Linked DNA regions of Caenorhabditis elegans. The protein of the gene in region 3 interacts with the protein of the main gene of each other region in a biochemical or structural test. Each region holds a gene or a part of one and is shown on either strand. Other genes may lie near its edges. The genes, in order: pptr-1, skn-1 and akt-1.

Region 1 (4,764 bases), 6.1 Mb from region 3:
AGCCTCTGCGCCTTTAGGTAAAAGTTTCAGAAGTTTGCGTTTTAATTAAGCTTTTTCTATTCATCTGAAAGTTGTGCAAATTCTCACTTTTTCTCCCCGTATTTACTTCCACCCCCATAAACTGCCCCTCCTCTTCATTTTCTTCACGTCTCCGTCGTCTCCAGTGGCCTGTGATGGCCTGTGTGCGTATATTATTCCTTTACTTCTCTCTCTCTCTCTCTCGGTCTCCCACACTCTCCGGCCTTTCCGTGTGCAAATGCGTGCGCGAGTGCGCACGACGTGTCTGCGTCTCTCGACGTCTTCTCAGTGTCTGCATCACTGTGCACTCCGGAATGCACACGAACTCTGCTCGCGCCGCTCACAAACGGCGCTCATCGGGTGAGAGATTGTCTTTTTTCTCTCGATCAACTAACTCTCTCTGTGGCTGGGCAGAGTGAGAGAAGACAACAAAACGTTGACGTTTATACCTCGTGTGAGAGCGAGAGTTTTTTGTCTCTTTTTTTCAACTTTTTCACTGAATTTATTAAGCGATTTGGAACATTGTTCGTGTTTTTTGTAGGGAATAAAATATAATTTATGCGCGAACTGCGTAGGTCATGCGCATGAAAAATTAAAGGATTTTGCTTTTTTAGACTCAAAATGCGCTCAAATAAACGAATTTTGTAATGAGACTACTCTTAAATTTCCCGAAATTTTTTATGGAGGCTTCTTTTTTTTAATTCAGACCTCGAAGTTCAAAATTTCGAAAAAACTTGATAATTTTTAAAAATTAGACAAAATTTTCGATTTTTCCAAAAATTTATATGTCGTAGCGGTAGGAAATTAAAATTTTTTCCGACACGAAAAATTGGCAAAGCTAGTTTTCCAGCTGGATTTTAGATAAAAATGCCCAGTTTTATCGATATTTTCAACCGCCATAGGTAAAATTAAACGAAATTCGTTTATTTTGGCACATTTTTACACCAGCAAAAACTGTCACTCCTCTCTCAAAATTTATCAATTTTCCCCGCGGTTATCGCTAAAAGTGAGCAAACCAGCAAGAAATACAGAATTTTCGGTTGTTTTATTTTTTTTTAATTTTTAAAGCAGTTTTTACGCTGAAAACTCTGAAACTTCAACTAAATTTCGACGAAATTCAGTTTTTCCATCTAAAAAAACAAATAAAAAACAAATTCGCAAGCGTGCTCCATTGATAAATTTGCGGAGCGGGAATTTGAATCTAGTTTTTCTTGTTAAATGGTTTTTTTAATCAATTTTGTGATAGTTCTCAAAATTTCACTTTTTCTGTGTATTGGCCCCATTGCCCATTGCTTTGTTCATTTAATGAAGGCATTTTTGCAAATTTTTACCACAAGGAAGCTTTAAAAACTAGAAAAAACGCGGCAAACCACCGATCAGTAAGTGCGCTCCAATGTAAATCGGAGATTTTCTCGTTTTTTAATTTGTTTTTTACGTTAAATCGATGTTTTGTCTACAATTTGAGCGTTTTTCCTGCGTTTTTTTCGGTTAAAAATTGAATAAAATTAAATAAAACCCATTTCAATACATTTTATTCCCGAATCTGATCACTTGTCGACCTACATTGCCATTTACTTTCACTCTCTTCTTATCATAATTTCGATAACCACTGCCTATCTCTTTTACACCATTCCGCGTTAATAAAAACCCTCTCTCTCTCACTCTCTCGCAATAAAAAATCAATATATATATATATACATTTTGCAGAAGCGCCCAGAAATCTCTCTCTCGCCGTCTGCTTCTCTGCTCCCTCCTACACGAAGTTTCAACACTTCGCTCGAACACAACCAGGGCGAGAAGACGTTGAAGAAGATAAATTCTTTTAATCAAAAAAAAAAATGCACGGAAGCGGGCACAGTCTAACGGGCGCTCCGCATCAAATTCCGCCGCCACGGACACAGGGAGCCGCCACCGGTGGCCAACAACTCTCGGCGACAGCTAATCAATTTGTTGATAAAATCGATCCGTTCCATAATAAAAGAGGAACTTCTAGACGATTGTGAGTGGCTGGTTTAATTTATTTTTATCGATTTTTCCCGATATTTTCAGGCGCATCAACAACAGCAGCCGATATAATGTTGATTCGGCTCAAGAACTCGTACAATTGGCGCTCATCAAAGGTGATTTTTTTGGATTTTCTAGATGAAAAACCGAAAAAATTTCGAAGAATTGAGTAAAAAATAGCGAAAAACTCGCATTTTGCCACCCTGCCGCAGATTTTGGCAGTTTTCAGTCGATTCCAGGCAAATATTCAGGGAAAATGTCCAAAAATGCTAATTTTAGTGAAAAAATGTTGAAAAATGCTCGATTGGCCTGAAAATTAGGATAATTTTCGTTGAAAAGTTGGAAAATAGCCTACAATTGTCGGAAATTGTCCCAAAAGTGTGAATTTCGACTTTTATACAAAATTTGTGATTCTTTTTAAAGTTTTTAACGAAAACTTACACTATTTTCAAGTAAATCAACTTTTTTATGTTGTATTTTTACATTATTTCGTGAAAATTTACCTACATCGACGGGAAAACGCGTTAGAAATCGCGAAAATCTTCAAAATAAAGGAATATTTCGATGAAAATCGATTTTCGGTCGCTGCAAATTCGTAAAAATGGAGTTTTTAGTCTTTTTTTTAAAAGATTTTTTGACAAATCGGATAATTTTGAACCCAAAACTAAGAAAATTTGGTCTTTTTGAGCCAAATTTTGAACTAAAATTCTGAAAAACGCCGTCTGAAATCTCTAAAATCTGCAAAAATTGCCGATTTCAAATTTAGCCTTTTTTCAGAATATTTGAGCCGAAATTGTCGGTTTTTTTTTGAGCCGAAATTGTCGGGTTTTTCAGTGAAAATTTGCCGAAAATCCCTGCTAAAACCCCGAAAAAAGGCCTAAATCATCAATTTTTTAAAAGAAATTCAATTGCTGCTGCAAAATTTGAGATTTTCGCCATTTTTATCGAAATTTGAATTTATTTTGAGCCTTTTAAATCAATTTTACCGCTAAAAATCTTTAAAAACTTCAATTTTTCCAGATACTGCTGCAAATGAGCAACCGGCTCTCGTTATCGAAAAGCTCGTCCAATGTCAGCACGTATTCGATTTCTATGATCCAGTAGCTCAACTGAAATGCAAAGAAATCAAAAGAGCAGCTCTAAATGAGCTCATCGATCACATTACATCGACAAAAGGAGCAATTGTTGAGACAATTTATCCGGCTGTCATTAAAATGGTTGCCAAGAATATATTCCGTGTACTTCCACCATCAGAAAATTGTGAATTTGATCCAGAAGAGGATGAACCGACTTTAGAAGTCTCGTGGCCACATTTACAGGTTGGAAATGCAAGAAAAACCCGAAAATGGCTCCAGGAAGCCGAAAAATGACAAAAAAAAATCGAAAAAAAAATGCAATTTTCAGAAAAATAGAGCAAAAAGTGCATTTTTCACTAATTTTTGGTCCAAAAAATTGACTTTTTCGACTGGAAAATTATTAGTTTTCCTTTTGGCAAAAAAAAACCCCGATACATCCTGAAAACATCGAAAATCTGAAAATTATAGCAGAAAACCGCGTTTTTTTGCTCCAATATACCAAAAATAGCCCCAGTGCATCAAAAAATATTGACAAAATGACCTAAAAACTCTGATTTTCTCAACTTTTCCGTGTTACAGATGGCATTTGGCCACTTTTTGGACCGAGAAAGGCATCGAAAGACGGAATTTTATAACAAAATTCATTAAAAATCGCTCAACAGCTCATAAAATGACATTTTCAGCTGAAATCTCAAATTTTGCCAACTTTCCCGGTGTCACAACGGTCGGAAATTAAAAAATTGGCGATTTAGGCTGAAATTCGACCATTTTTCGGAATTTTCAGCAATTTTTGATTATTTTTATTACAAAAGACCCCTATTTAAAAAAATCAATTTTTGCTCTATTATACCCAAAATGGCTCCGGGCCATCAAAAAATGCTGAAAATTCGTCGAATGTCAGCCTAAATCGCCAATTTCTCAATTTCCGACCGCTGTGAAACCTGGAAAGTTGGCAAAATTTGAAATTTCAGCTGAAAATATGTAATTTTTCGAGATTTTGAGCGGTTTTTAATGAATTTTGTTATGAAATTCCGTCTTCTATGGCCAAATTTCACCTGAAACTCAGAAAAGTCGACAAAATTTGAGTTTTTAGGCCATTTTCTGGCCAAATTGGGAGCTAAAAGATGCTTAAAATCATCAGAAATCTGCAAAAATTCACTGAAAATTGGAAAAACTGCCCTAAAATCAAAAAAAAAAAAACGAATTTTGCAGCTTGTCTACGAGCTCTTCCTGAGATTCCTTGAGTCGCCAGATTTCCAAGCTTCAATCGGTAAAAAGTATATTGATCAGAGATTTGTGCTCAAGCTGCTCGATTTATTCGATTCGGAGGATCCACGTGAACGAGACTTTTTGAAGACGGTTCTTCATCGTATTTACGGAAAATTTTTGGGCCTTCGGGCTTTTATTCGCAAACATATCAATAATATGTTTTTGAGGTGAATACTGGATTTTTTTTTTCGCTGAAAAATCGCTAAAAAATGGCTTAAAAATGAGAAAATTGCAACGAAAAGCTCAATTTTCGGCAAAAATTCATGGATTTGGACCATTTTTGCAATTTTTGATATTAAAATTGTCATATTTGTGGTGTTTTGGGTGAAAATTTGTGATTTTTCTTTGAAAAATACCGAAAACTTGTGAAAAGTTATGTAAAATAGCGTTTTTTGTG
Region 2 (4,929 bases), on a different chromosome or scaffold from region 3:
ACACGCAGGGTGTACGAGAGAATGCTGGAAAGCGCATGTCCAATGGGAAGACGCAGAGGTAAAAAAATTTTGTGACCGCCGTGTCTATTTGCCTGAACACAGATAGACACAGACTTGTGGAGATCGAAAATCGCAACTTTTTGATCCGAAATCTTGGTGCGCGGTAAATTAACGTGCGCAGAAAATTGACCAATTAAATGAAAAACTAGAAGAGAAGGCTGCTGTGGGGGCCGTAACGAAGTCAACGAAAGCTGATAAGACCAGCATTGTCGCTCGCCGCTTGCACCAAAGACGACGACTACAAAACGACTACACAACGGCAGGTGAATGTTGTAGCGAGAGGGCGAGTGCGACCGAATTGTTGCAGGCAGGTAGTAGACGGTGGGAGGTGAAAAACCGAAGATCTGGAGAATGTGTGTGTGGATGTTGATGCAATTTTTCATAGCACGTTGCCCTTAAATTCTGATGAATCCACACAGAAGTAGTACAGAGCAGGACTGTGCGGAAAAATATTTCGGCAAACGTACAAAAATGAATATAAAAATGTAGGAAAATGCTCGCTCAATCTGAAAATGATATGTATTTTTGTTGGAAAAGTTTGAAAAAGACTTTCAATTGTGCCGTCTTTTAAAAAGTTTTCAAAAAAAATTTTTTTTTCAAACCGAACGAGCATTTTCCTACATTTTAACATTAATTTTTGATTCAAAAAGTTGATATATTTTTCGAAAAAAGTTACAAGTCTAGTACAGAATACTTTGAAAAACGATTGAAACTGAAACTCACGAAACCGAGAGAACAGTTTAAAACAATTATTCAATAAACTTAATGCTTGGTGGTACTGCTGAGAATAAAAAATTTGTTTTGATTTAATTTCTTCTCAACGCCTAATTTCAAAATGCGTGCTGGTTTTCACGTTTCCAAAAATCCAAGTTTTTTTTTGGAAAGGAACCAAAAATTCAAAAATAAAGCATATCAGTTTGAAGTTTGTGCCAAGACTGATAAGAAATATATGAGAGATGCAAAAGATATCACTTGACGAGAAAAAGAAAAGATTTTCGATATTCTAAAAAAGAGAGGTTTGGGTGCACACGGAAATCGGATACATCTACAATTGAGCTACAACTGAATTATTCAAACCACCTGCGTCAGACATGCATGGGAAAATTGAATTATCCACACACCTTCTTCCCTGTTGATATGTGATCAGAATTCTTCGAAATCTTGGCTAAAAATAATTATGATACTAAACCTGCTACAAACCACGTGTTTTTATTTTTATTATTACTACAACAAAAATAAAAACAAGCGCATAATAGTCTGATATTTGGTTGAAAATCTCAATTAATCAGAACATATCCTGTTTATTTCAGGATATTATGATCAAAAATCGCGAAATTTAGAATATAGTAGTTCCGTCGGAACTCAAAGAACTCAATCTTTCTGTTTGAGTGTACTGTGAGTTTGACATCATATTTGGCTGTTTATGAATTCTCGTAGAACGTGATGTTCAGAATTATATTTCTTGACCTCAACCGTGAAAACGAATAGGTTCAGCATGTCAAATACATTGCAATTCAATTAGAATATAGTAGAAGAAAGCTTCTACTCATATTCTGTCAATAAATAATCATACTTTCAATTTTTACAAATCGAAAGCTGTGATCCGAATTTCAACTTATACCAATTCCTTGATCCATTGCGTGCAAAAACCCAACTAACCATGTCAACCGCACCCATTCACAATCAGACCACAGATATGATTCAAGTCATTTTTTCGGTTTTAAACGTCTCATTTCCAGATGATATCATCTTGCACCGAGAGCGTCAATTTAATCAAACGGTTTGATCAAACATTGTACGTGGTGGTGGAAAACCGTTGTTGATAGTCGCTGTCGGCGTAGCAGAAAAAGTTCGAAAAATCAAGAGCCTCGTGGGGTGTCTATCAGGATGGTAATGCTGCTATCAAGCTGGCATATAGGCAATCGGGGGTTTGCGATTTTGGAGCGACTCCGGCAAGATGTTTGTATAATATACATATATGGAGGACAATGTACAGACAGTAATATTTTAGGCTAAGTTTAAGATTGAAGAGATTGGAAAATATCTGAAAATCTGATGATCTGGCGGAAGAAGGATTTCGGAAGGGAACGGTCTTCTTAGCGGCTCTGAAATACAAAGATCACGCTTTCCATTGTTTTCTTGAATTTTTGAAATTCTACTTTTCAGAGGACTTCGACTTCGTCCTCTGGCATTTACGAACATAGTCGTTCCGGCATCATTATTGCAACAGAGAGAGAGAGAGAGAGACAGAATGAGCCGTGAATAGTTTCAGACAACGAGGCAACTGTGACATTCTACATGAGATAGTTGGGATTAACACGTAACAATGCGGGAGACCTAGATAACGAGAGTGATGTGACTGAAGTGATAAGAGGAGAAGGTGGTCTGATATGGAGTTTGGGAAGGAAAAGCTGTTCAAAGTAAATATGTTACGCGGTCTTTGAGAAATGATCTATAACCGGGTGTAAATAAGAAAAAATGTTTGAATTTGAACTTGAAAAATCATATTTTTGAAAACTCGACTCTCAATTGTGGTGTATTTTCCCTATTTTAGTCTACTCGAATTAATAGAAACTTCCAAGAATAATATATAGGTAGATGATGAAAAAGCTTAAAAAAGCTAAAAATAGGCTCCACTCAGATCTTGGTTATTCTTTTAGTTTTTTTTCTTGTTTCTGAAGAAATTAAGTAATCCGTGAAGAGAAAAGCCATGTTTAAGGTTAAAGCTGGAATTTTGAGCCAAAAATCTTGGGAAAAAATCTACAAATCTTAGTTAAAGTTGGATTTAGAACATGAAGAAAACAAAAATTGTAAATGCAAGTAATATTGAATCAGAATTGCAAGAGTTGACTGGAAAAGTGATACGAAAAGTCATGCTCTCCCGTGAAATGATGATATTCTTCAGGTCTTTTTACTTGATAAAACCAACAAAAAAAAAACTAACCGACACTCCATAAATTGACGTCGTCTCTTCTTCGTCGTCGGCTACCGAAGAGAAGCACTGTCTTCGTCTTCGTTTATCGTCTCGTCTCGTCGCCGACGTACTTCGCTGACGGCGTGATGAACCGCCCATCGACTGACTGGATTATGATAGATCCTGTGAGAATGAGTGGAACACTTCTCTCAACAATATTCGGACACGGACTCGCGGCTGAGTGACCAGAGTCCGATCGACGGAGGAGAAACGCGTGAACGACGACACGAGGCCTTCTCTGCAATATTTTGAGTTACAACAATTTTTTTTCTAGAATTCAGAAAACGGGAATTTTCGGAATTACAAGAACTATTCTAGAAAAAACTAGAAACTTCGTTTTTGGGGAATTGTATTGTCTACAAAAACCTACAGTATTTTTTTTCAAATTTAATTAAAGGAGGAATATAGTTTGTGGGAGGTTTTCGCTTAAAAAAAACTAAATCTGGCACAAAAGTGCCGAATTTCATAGTGATATTTATTTAAATAATTTCAAAAACGTTTATGACTGGAAAAATCGAAAAAACATTCAAATTTTCCACACATTTTGGTCGAAAATAAAAAAAAAACGGTGTTTTAGCTTTAAAAAAATCCAGAATTTAGCAAAATTTGGACCTTATTTTTCGATATTTTCAGTTATACATTTTTCGAAAATTTTGAGGCAATATTAGTAAAATCAGATTAAAATAAGTTTAGTGGTAGGAACTTGATTTCACAGTTTCAGAAAATTTTAATAATCATTAAACCAAGTAAAGCAACAAGAAAGAGAAAATAAATTAGGAAAAATTCAAATTTTAGATAACAGAATTGGTTTCAAAACCAATCAACAAAAAATAACAAAATTTCCTCCACAAGACTGCAATAAAAATCTTTACTTTTAATATATTTACATATGGTACAAGTTTGGGGAAAAGGCAGAATTCCAGCAGAAAATTTGAAAAAAAAAACTAGAAATCACAATGAAAATTGAATATTTTTTAAAGAAGCGTCCCTGAGAAATTGAAAAAAAAATTTCTAGCGTTGAAAATGTTATTCTACATTTGATCCCGTGAAATCACTAAATAGGCGATCTGAGAGCATCGCATTGAGCACACGCAGCTTTGAGATCTGTGAGCATTAGAGCCATTGCACGAGTCCATCGAACATCTGTGTTGAGTGTCATAACTGCATTGTATTTGACACCATTGTCAACCAGTGAATCAGCATGAATTTGATATGGTGGTTTGAAATTTTTGTTTCGATCCTGAAAAATGTATAAAAATTAGGGTGTTTCTGAAACCAAAAAATTATAAAATCGATCTTTATACCGGAAAATGAATATTGTAAATCCATTCTTAACGAGATGTGAAATTTTACAGTTTTGCTCCAAAAATACTTTAAAAAACCCGATTTACTCAAACTCATAAGGGATCGTGCGCCTTTAAGGCCTACGGTATTTCCCAACTCCTCAAGTGTTCACCCAATTATTTAAATAAAATTTATTAAAAAACATGTAAAAACACGCCAAATTTCGTAGAAACGGGCGGAAAACTAGGAAAAATCACTCTTTTTCACTAGTTTCTTTCAGATTTGGGTTGGTTTTATACCTTTTTAACGTAAATCGGTTGAAAAATGGGAGTTGGGAACTACAGTAGGCCTTAAAGGTGCACGATTTTTTTGAAGTTCAGAAAATCTGTCTATTTTTGTATTTTTGAAGCAGAAATCGCATAAACTTTTGCAAATGGGTAATACGAAAATAAATTCACAATACTTATTTTTGATGGATATGTCTTTTTTATTCTGTACAGAGATCGATTTCAAGAAAACTCCCAATTTTTTAACCAACTCCGAACGGCAACATATTTTCCCACAAACCTTGAGCTCTTTCAACAAAAACTCGAGCAACTGCAAGAATCGAC
Region 3 (6,508 bases):
TCGCCTTCTGTGATAAGCTCACTGAGCTTCCGTTTACTAAGGATTGGAAGATCGGACAAGTTAATGACTACGTTAACAACCTTGATGTAAGTTTCATAATGATTTTAATATTGAATTTAATATTAAATTATTGAATTTTCAGTTCGGCAGAACAGATTGTGGCCTTCCAATGACTTGGGCAACAGAAAATAATCTCAAGTTTGATGTCTTCATTATCTACACCGACAACGATACCTGGGCTGGAGAGATTCATCCATTCGAAGCCATCAAAAAGTATCGTGAAGCTTCTGGTATTCATGACGCGAAGGTCATTGTGATGGCAATGCAGGCATATGACTACTCGATTGCCGATCCATCTGATGCTGGTATGCTCGACATTACCGGATTCGATTCGGCTGTACCACAGATTGTTCACGAGTTTGTTACTGGAAAGATCTAATTTATAGTACTGATCTGTTATTTATTTCGCATGTTTCTTTGTTCATATTTTGTCATTCCATAATAAAAATACGAGGATAAAATTCTTTCATTTGGATTGTTGGATATGATATAGGAACATAGTACATCCACGAATGATGGCGCTATTTGGTTTTCACAACCGTAGCTTGTGAGTAATATTACAAAACGATGATGGAATTTTGAAATGGAAAGAACTACGGTCTCAGGTGAATAAAAAGGATAGTATACAAAGGGAAGGAGGCAGAACAGGAAGAGATGAAAACAAAGAGATTTCTCATTTTAATTCGATATTTACTGAGAATAGATCAAAATATAGTCACTGTAACGACTAAATATTTGTTTAAAAAAGGATATCTGAATGTCAGACAAAGGGGTCAGTTTTCTACAGTCTGCAAAACAGGCTAAAATCGCAATTAATTAAATTCAAGCCATTGTGGTGTCAAATTATCCCATATCATAATCTTCGTTGTCTTCACTTGCTTCATGAATTCGATTGATACTTCCCATAACATTGTGGAATGAGAATTGTGTGAAGTTTGATTGCATTTCTTCTTGCTCATCGACTGTAGCAAGGGCTCCGCTTCTACTAGGCGGTGTCAGTTGAACTGGTTGAGATGTGAATTCCTAAAATAAAATCTTTGTTTCTAGTGAAAAAATTTAAAATGTATTAGTCAACTCACATTATCAAAGTAACTAGTATCAGTTTCTGACTGCACATTTGGCTTATATGGTGGCTCGATTTCTTTTCTGTACGTTGCTTCCCAATCGACAGTACGGAAAAAGTCTGCTCTACAAATCTCCAATGCATCTTCGGGTCCACCACCCAATCGCTGAGTTGGATCTTTGACAAGAAGTCCGGTGAGCAAAGTTCTAGCTTCTTGACTCAACTTGCTTGGGAACCTTAGATCACCAGCCATGATAAGTTCGAATAGTTTATTATGATCCTTCGAATAAAATGGAAGCCTTCCACACATCATCTCGTACATCACAACTCCAACTCCCCACCAATCAACACAACGTCCGTAGTCATGATCATCAAGAACCTGCAATTAAAACATTTAAATGTGAGAAGTGAGTGAGATTTTTTTACCTCTGGTGCAAGATACTCCGGAGTTCCACAGAAAGTACTTGTTTTGTCACCAAAACTGATTTCTTCTTTACATAATCCAAAATCCGCAATTTTAATATGTCCATCTTTGTCAAGAAGCAAATTTTCAAGCTTAAAAAATATAATTTAACTTGTATACAGACTTGGGGAAAATCCGAATGGCGAGCCGATAGTTTTCTTAGTTTTTACATGTTCTACAACTATCCGCTATGTGACTACTGTATTCTACTTCTATAAATAAACATTTTTCTAACCTTCAAATCTCGATAAACAATGCTATTTGCATGAAGATATCCGAGAGCAAGGACGATCTCAGAGCCATAGAAACGGGCTCGAGGTTCTGAGAAACCCTCTTTGTTCATCTGCACTTCTCGATTTAGATGATAATAGAGATCACCGCCAATGGCAAACTCCATTACGAAACACAGACGATCGTTTGTTTGAAACGAGTATTTCAGTTCCTGCAGTAATACAGAAATAAAGCGTGGAAAGAGAATAAAAACTATAGGGTTGCGAACTAAGAAGATAAATTAGTGAATCGGAAAAGAAGCGTTACCATAAGAAGAAAAAAAAGAAGCATGACATAAACTGAGACATTACTACTTACAATGTAAAATAAATAAGTTGATAGCATAACGTTCTAAGTGTTTGAATCTTGCTATCCTACGTAAAATTCAACTGCGGATAGTTGTAAAACATTTTTGAAACAAAATAATCTATGTTCGGCTCGTCATTCAGATTCTTCATCGTCGAACCTTCATATCACGGTAGACAATATCGCATCGGTGAAGGTATCCGAGAGCAAGAACGATCTCGGCTCCGTAGAATCGGGCTCTTGGTTCACTAAATGTTCCACATTTACGTACATGCGTAAAAAGTTCTCCACCATTCGCAAACTGCATCACAAAACAAAGATAGTGTTGCTCTTGGAAACTATATTTCAGTTCCTGAAAATACGACCACAAACACTATGGGAAAACAATAAAAATTACGACAATAATTGTACTCTCAGGGGTAGAAGATTATAGGAGAAGGACGTGCTGGGGTTAAAATTTAAACAAAAGTGAGTGAACTGAATCAATAAATAAAAATAGTTTTATAAAAAACATACCGTAAGGAACGGATGCTTGCATCTTTGAAGAACTCGATTTTCTGTCAAAGTGTGAGCAACTTCTTCGCGAGCAATGATTACATCTTTTTTGAGAATTTTGATGGCATAAAGCTTTTGAGTACGCTTTTCCTTGCACAAGATAACTTTTCCGAATGTTCCTTTACCGAGCACTTTGAGAAAATCGAAATCTTCCATTGTCTGTAATTTTTTTTGCAAAGGTTTTTATCAGATAGGTTTTCTTACGATTTTGTCTCTTTTAGCAGCTTCGCTGGTGTCAGCAATACTAATCATAGACGCTCTGAAGTCAATTGAACAATTATCACCGTGTCCCGAAGATGGTTGACCCATAATTGCATGCGCTGCACCAGCAAATTCACTGTCTTCATCAATTTTTGGCTGCTGATTCTAAAAGAATTTTTCAAAAAAGCTGGATCAAGGTGTAATTTTTACGGTTTCCATTAATTCCTCTTGTGGATTTGCATTTGTGCCTTTGTATTTTTTTGAAATGCTCTCAATAGCATGAATCCAACGCTGACGAACTTCTGCCGACTCCGCATAGAATGTTCGCTCAATGACAGTTGTCCACTGAAGGCATCTTACCATGAACATGTTAGGTCGTGGTTTTTCGAATAACATTGTCTGAAAATAAAATATTGCAAAAGTAGATGATTTTGCAGAATGATGTTTAGAAAAATAAGCTCATCTCTACTTACCGCTGCATCCTTGATCATAAAATCATTCAATGGCTCAGGAAACGGTTGTCCTTCCTTAGGCTTTGCTCGAAATCCAAGTAAGGCTCCATCATTGAATATCATGAAGTATCTGAAATTATTCTACGTCATTAACTTTCAATCTTTTATCATCTTTGTTTTTTTTGTTATGTCACTCTGACGAGTTTCTTTTTAAAATGTTTTCAGTCACTCTCAACTTCCGCACTCACTCATTCTCTCTTTTTTCAATTTGATTATTTTTCGCATCGCTCACTCGCCGTTCACATGTGTTTATTATTTTGGAACATTAAATGAGAAGGGTGACATACTTATGGATAGAAGACATGCACACTCAAAAACAAAAAAACCATCCAAAAATACTGCACAAAATCGTGTTTTTCATTTTTTGAGTTTTCTGTAATCACAACAGTTTCACTTCCGTGTTGCTATTATTCAATTTTTCAATGTACTGTCTGTTAGGAAAATGATATACGTTTTTAGCAATCGTGAATATTTCATAGATATCTTTAATTTTCGGTTAATTTCAGTCGTTTGAAAATAATTATATTCTGAAGCGAATAGTTGTACTATGTAGCGTAGCAAACATAGAATCATCTGCTCTACCAGGAAGTCACATCATTCCCCCTTCATAAAAACGTTTATGAAGATTTTTCAGCCGGAAAAGCATGATAAGAGCGAGTGCGCGGCAAAAACAAATCAGTTGACGTATATGATGAAGCGGATATATGAATTTATGTAGAAAACAAAAATAAAAAGATTAACGAGAACAAGACTCATCGGAGTTTTCAAGATAAATTTTGATGTGAAATCATTAACTAACTTTTTCGAGCATAAAAATTATCGAATCAGTGGTAATATATGATCAGTACCGATAGAAAAATCAAACCTTGGTCTCCAGTTTCGAATGTGCTCTCCTTTCTTGTGAAGCCATCCCTCAATGACAACATCTTCTTGTCTTCGAGACTTCGTTGACAAGCTTGTCATCGACATTCTTTCACCGGCGCCGTCGTAAACCTTTCGGGAGAAGTAACGTCTTCGACTGAAAATTAGAATATTTTTTGATCGAGATTCATTATGTTTTTAAGAAAATCAGTTTTAACACTTTTAATTCGAAAATGAAGGAAAACATAAAAAAAAAGAAAAGCGAAAAAACACACGAGAGAGTTTTGTGACAAACAAAGCAGAGGGACGGAAATTGACAGAATTTGAAGAGAGAGACATAGGAGTTTAGAGAAAAAAGAGGTGGTGACCCTATTTCAGCGGAAACAAGAACACGAAAACATTTTCAGACACTGCCCAGCAACAACATCATGAGTAACGCTGCTGCTTCAGAATATCGTTTTCTGAGTGTTCGTCTGTGGTTTTTTGTTTTCCAACAAGGAAGAGATAGGAGAAGCAGAAATAACGGGAACGGACAACCAGTGGAAAATAAGAAAGAAAATATCGGTTTTCTGGAATTGCCCGCTTGGAAAACAAGATTATTTCTACGATAACACCATGCCACTGATCATAAATTTCAAGTTTTTGATCTCTGGCATTTTATACACATCGATACTGTATAACATGCAAACAGAAAGTTTACCTGTGATGTACGAGCACTTTTGTTATCGAAAAATCAACAAAACAACGTGAAATAGAATAACAAATTAACGGCAAACAATTTTTGAATAGGGATACTATGAGAGCCGAAGTATACAAGCGAAAAAAGACCATATTGGTTGAAGTTGATAAATTTTCAATAGTCTGAGAACCATTTTACGGCTGTATAAATATACAAAAACGACTTATTTTTAATTATTGGTTTTTAACTCAACCTTATTAGGCATTCAATTTACGGAAATCATGTTAATTATTATTTCTCTAGAATTTCTCTTGAATTATAAGCCACTTTAGAAACCCTATAAACGAAAAAAAATTAATCGTGAGAAAACATTAAGAGACGGAGAATGAGAAAGGAAGAGATGAACCACGCGGATTATCATCACGTAAAAACAAGAGGAGAGGTTTTGATACACTTTTCGCAGTTAGTGATTAGGCCACTGCCTCTTGTCTGAGCTTTCGAAGAGAAACAGATTATTATGCACCACGACTGGCATACGAACATACAAAAAAGCGGGGTGATTACGCCATGGGAGAAGGAGCGGAACTGGAGCACATACGTGGAAAGACGCAGACGGAACGTGCCTAAATTTAATCGATCGGAACGATATATTAGAGACATAATAATAACGAATTAACTGTTAAATTGGGAATATATTTGAAAAATAGACACTTTTTCAGATTTTTTTTCAGTAACAAAATTAGAAAATCTTCGAATGTGGTTTCAATGCCATGATTTTTTGATTAAGTGAACGCGAGAAAAACCGGAAAATAAGAAGGAAAAGCAACAAACAGAGGCGCCGATAGGGTTAGACCGGGTCTTGAACTGACGGTCTTGAGACGAATACAAACAACTTGATGAAGGAAAAAGAGAAAGTATGTGGGTTGTTGATGAAATCTCCAAAAAAAAAAAAAAATAGAAAACAAAGTTTTTCTATCTAATTAATTTTTGAAAGCATTGAAAAGCTTTTTTAAACGTTTTTTTTTAAACAGGAACGTTCGAAAACGAAAAAAAAAACGGTTGTGTTGCCAGACTCCGGTTGAGTTAGATATCGGGCACGAATATCGGTGTTGCCAGTAGTATACAGCAGTACGGAAAAGTGCACGTTTCGATCAAAGGCCGCGCGTGCTTTGCTTCGCGGAATGGATGATCGGTGACGCCGGACGGAGAGAGGGAACAGGCGCGGCGTCGAGCCGCAGACAGAGCGAGATAGTACATGCTAGAGTTGTTTACATCCCAAAACGAAAACGAAGAGGCTTCGCGACAATTGCAAAAAATGAATTGTCCCTGCTTTTTATGAGGTGAATATTATTGGAAAAAATTTAAGGGGAGAACACTAATTTACATCTGAATGAAACAACAAAGAAATATGAATTTTAAGAGTATTTTAGGAGTGGGAGTGATGAAAGCTTATTATATTCTGAAAATAAAAATAAACTCCCACGCGCGCGAGTTCCAAAATCGAAAAATACAACAAAAAAACAACAAAAATGTTGCAA

The links.
Region 1: of the proteins of akt-1 (region 3) and pptr-1, one has a biochemical effect on the other in vitro, tested with the Caenorhabditis elegans proteins (one study listed by BioGRID).
Region 2: of the proteins of akt-1 (region 3) and skn-1, one has a biochemical effect on the other in vitro, tested with the Caenorhabditis elegans proteins (one study listed by BioGRID).

Annotation. Positions count from the first base shown.
Region 1 is NC_003283.11:16,355,796-16,360,559, forward strand, and holds the start of pptr-1 (Serine/threonine-protein phosphatase 2A regulatory subunit pptr-1), read left to right. Parts: upstream 1-1,725; 5' UTR 1,726-1,856; coding exon 1,857-2,017; intron 2,018-2,067; coding exon 2,068-2,138; intron 2,139-3,042; coding exon 3,043-3,341; intron 3,342-4,310; coding exon 4,311-4,534; intron 4,535-4,764. UniProt on the Caenorhabditis elegans protein: Probable regulatory subunit of serine/threonine-protein phosphatase let-92 which negatively regulates the insulin receptor signaling cascade composed of daf-2, age-1, akt-1, akt-2 and sgk-1 by promoting the dephosphorylation of akt-1 on 'Thr-350'.
Region 2 is NC_003282.8:5,657,252-5,662,180, forward strand, and holds the start of skn-1 (Protein skinhead-1), read right to left. Parts: upstream 3,134-4,929; coding exon 3,005-3,133; intron 315-3,004; exon of another isoform or gene 165-314; intron 120-164; exon of another isoform or gene 67-119; intron 1-66. Other genes in the region: bec-1 (Beclin homolog), read right to left, coding at 4,089-4,274, 4,886-4,929. UniProt on the Caenorhabditis elegans protein: Transcription factor. Required to specify the fate of ventral blastomeres in the early embryo, and postembryonically for the development of the intestine. Directly regulates expression of zygotically expressed med-1 and med-2 to direct mesendoderm development.
Region 3 is NC_003283.11:10,246,847-10,253,354, reverse strand, and holds akt-1 (Serine/threonine-protein kinase akt-1), read right to left. Parts: upstream 4,451-6,508; 5' UTR 4,400-4,450; coding exon 4,296-4,399; intron 3,501-4,295; coding exon 3,392-3,500; intron 3,318-3,391; coding exon 3,129-3,317; intron 3,084-3,128; coding exon 2,922-3,083; intron 2,877-2,921; coding exon 2,679-2,876; intron 2,515-2,678; coding exon of another isoform or gene 2,323-2,514; intron 2,029-2,322; coding exon 1,822-2,028; intron 1,679-1,821; coding exon 1,550-1,678; intron 1,503-1,549; coding exon 1,140-1,502; intron 1,084-1,139; coding exon 904-1,083; 3' UTR 510-903; downstream 1-509. Other genes in the region: rop-1 (RNA-binding protein RO60), read left to right, coding at 1-86, 143-439. UniProt on the Caenorhabditis elegans protein: Acts downstream of PI3 kinase age-1 and kinase pdk-1 in the daf-2/insulin receptor-like transduction pathway.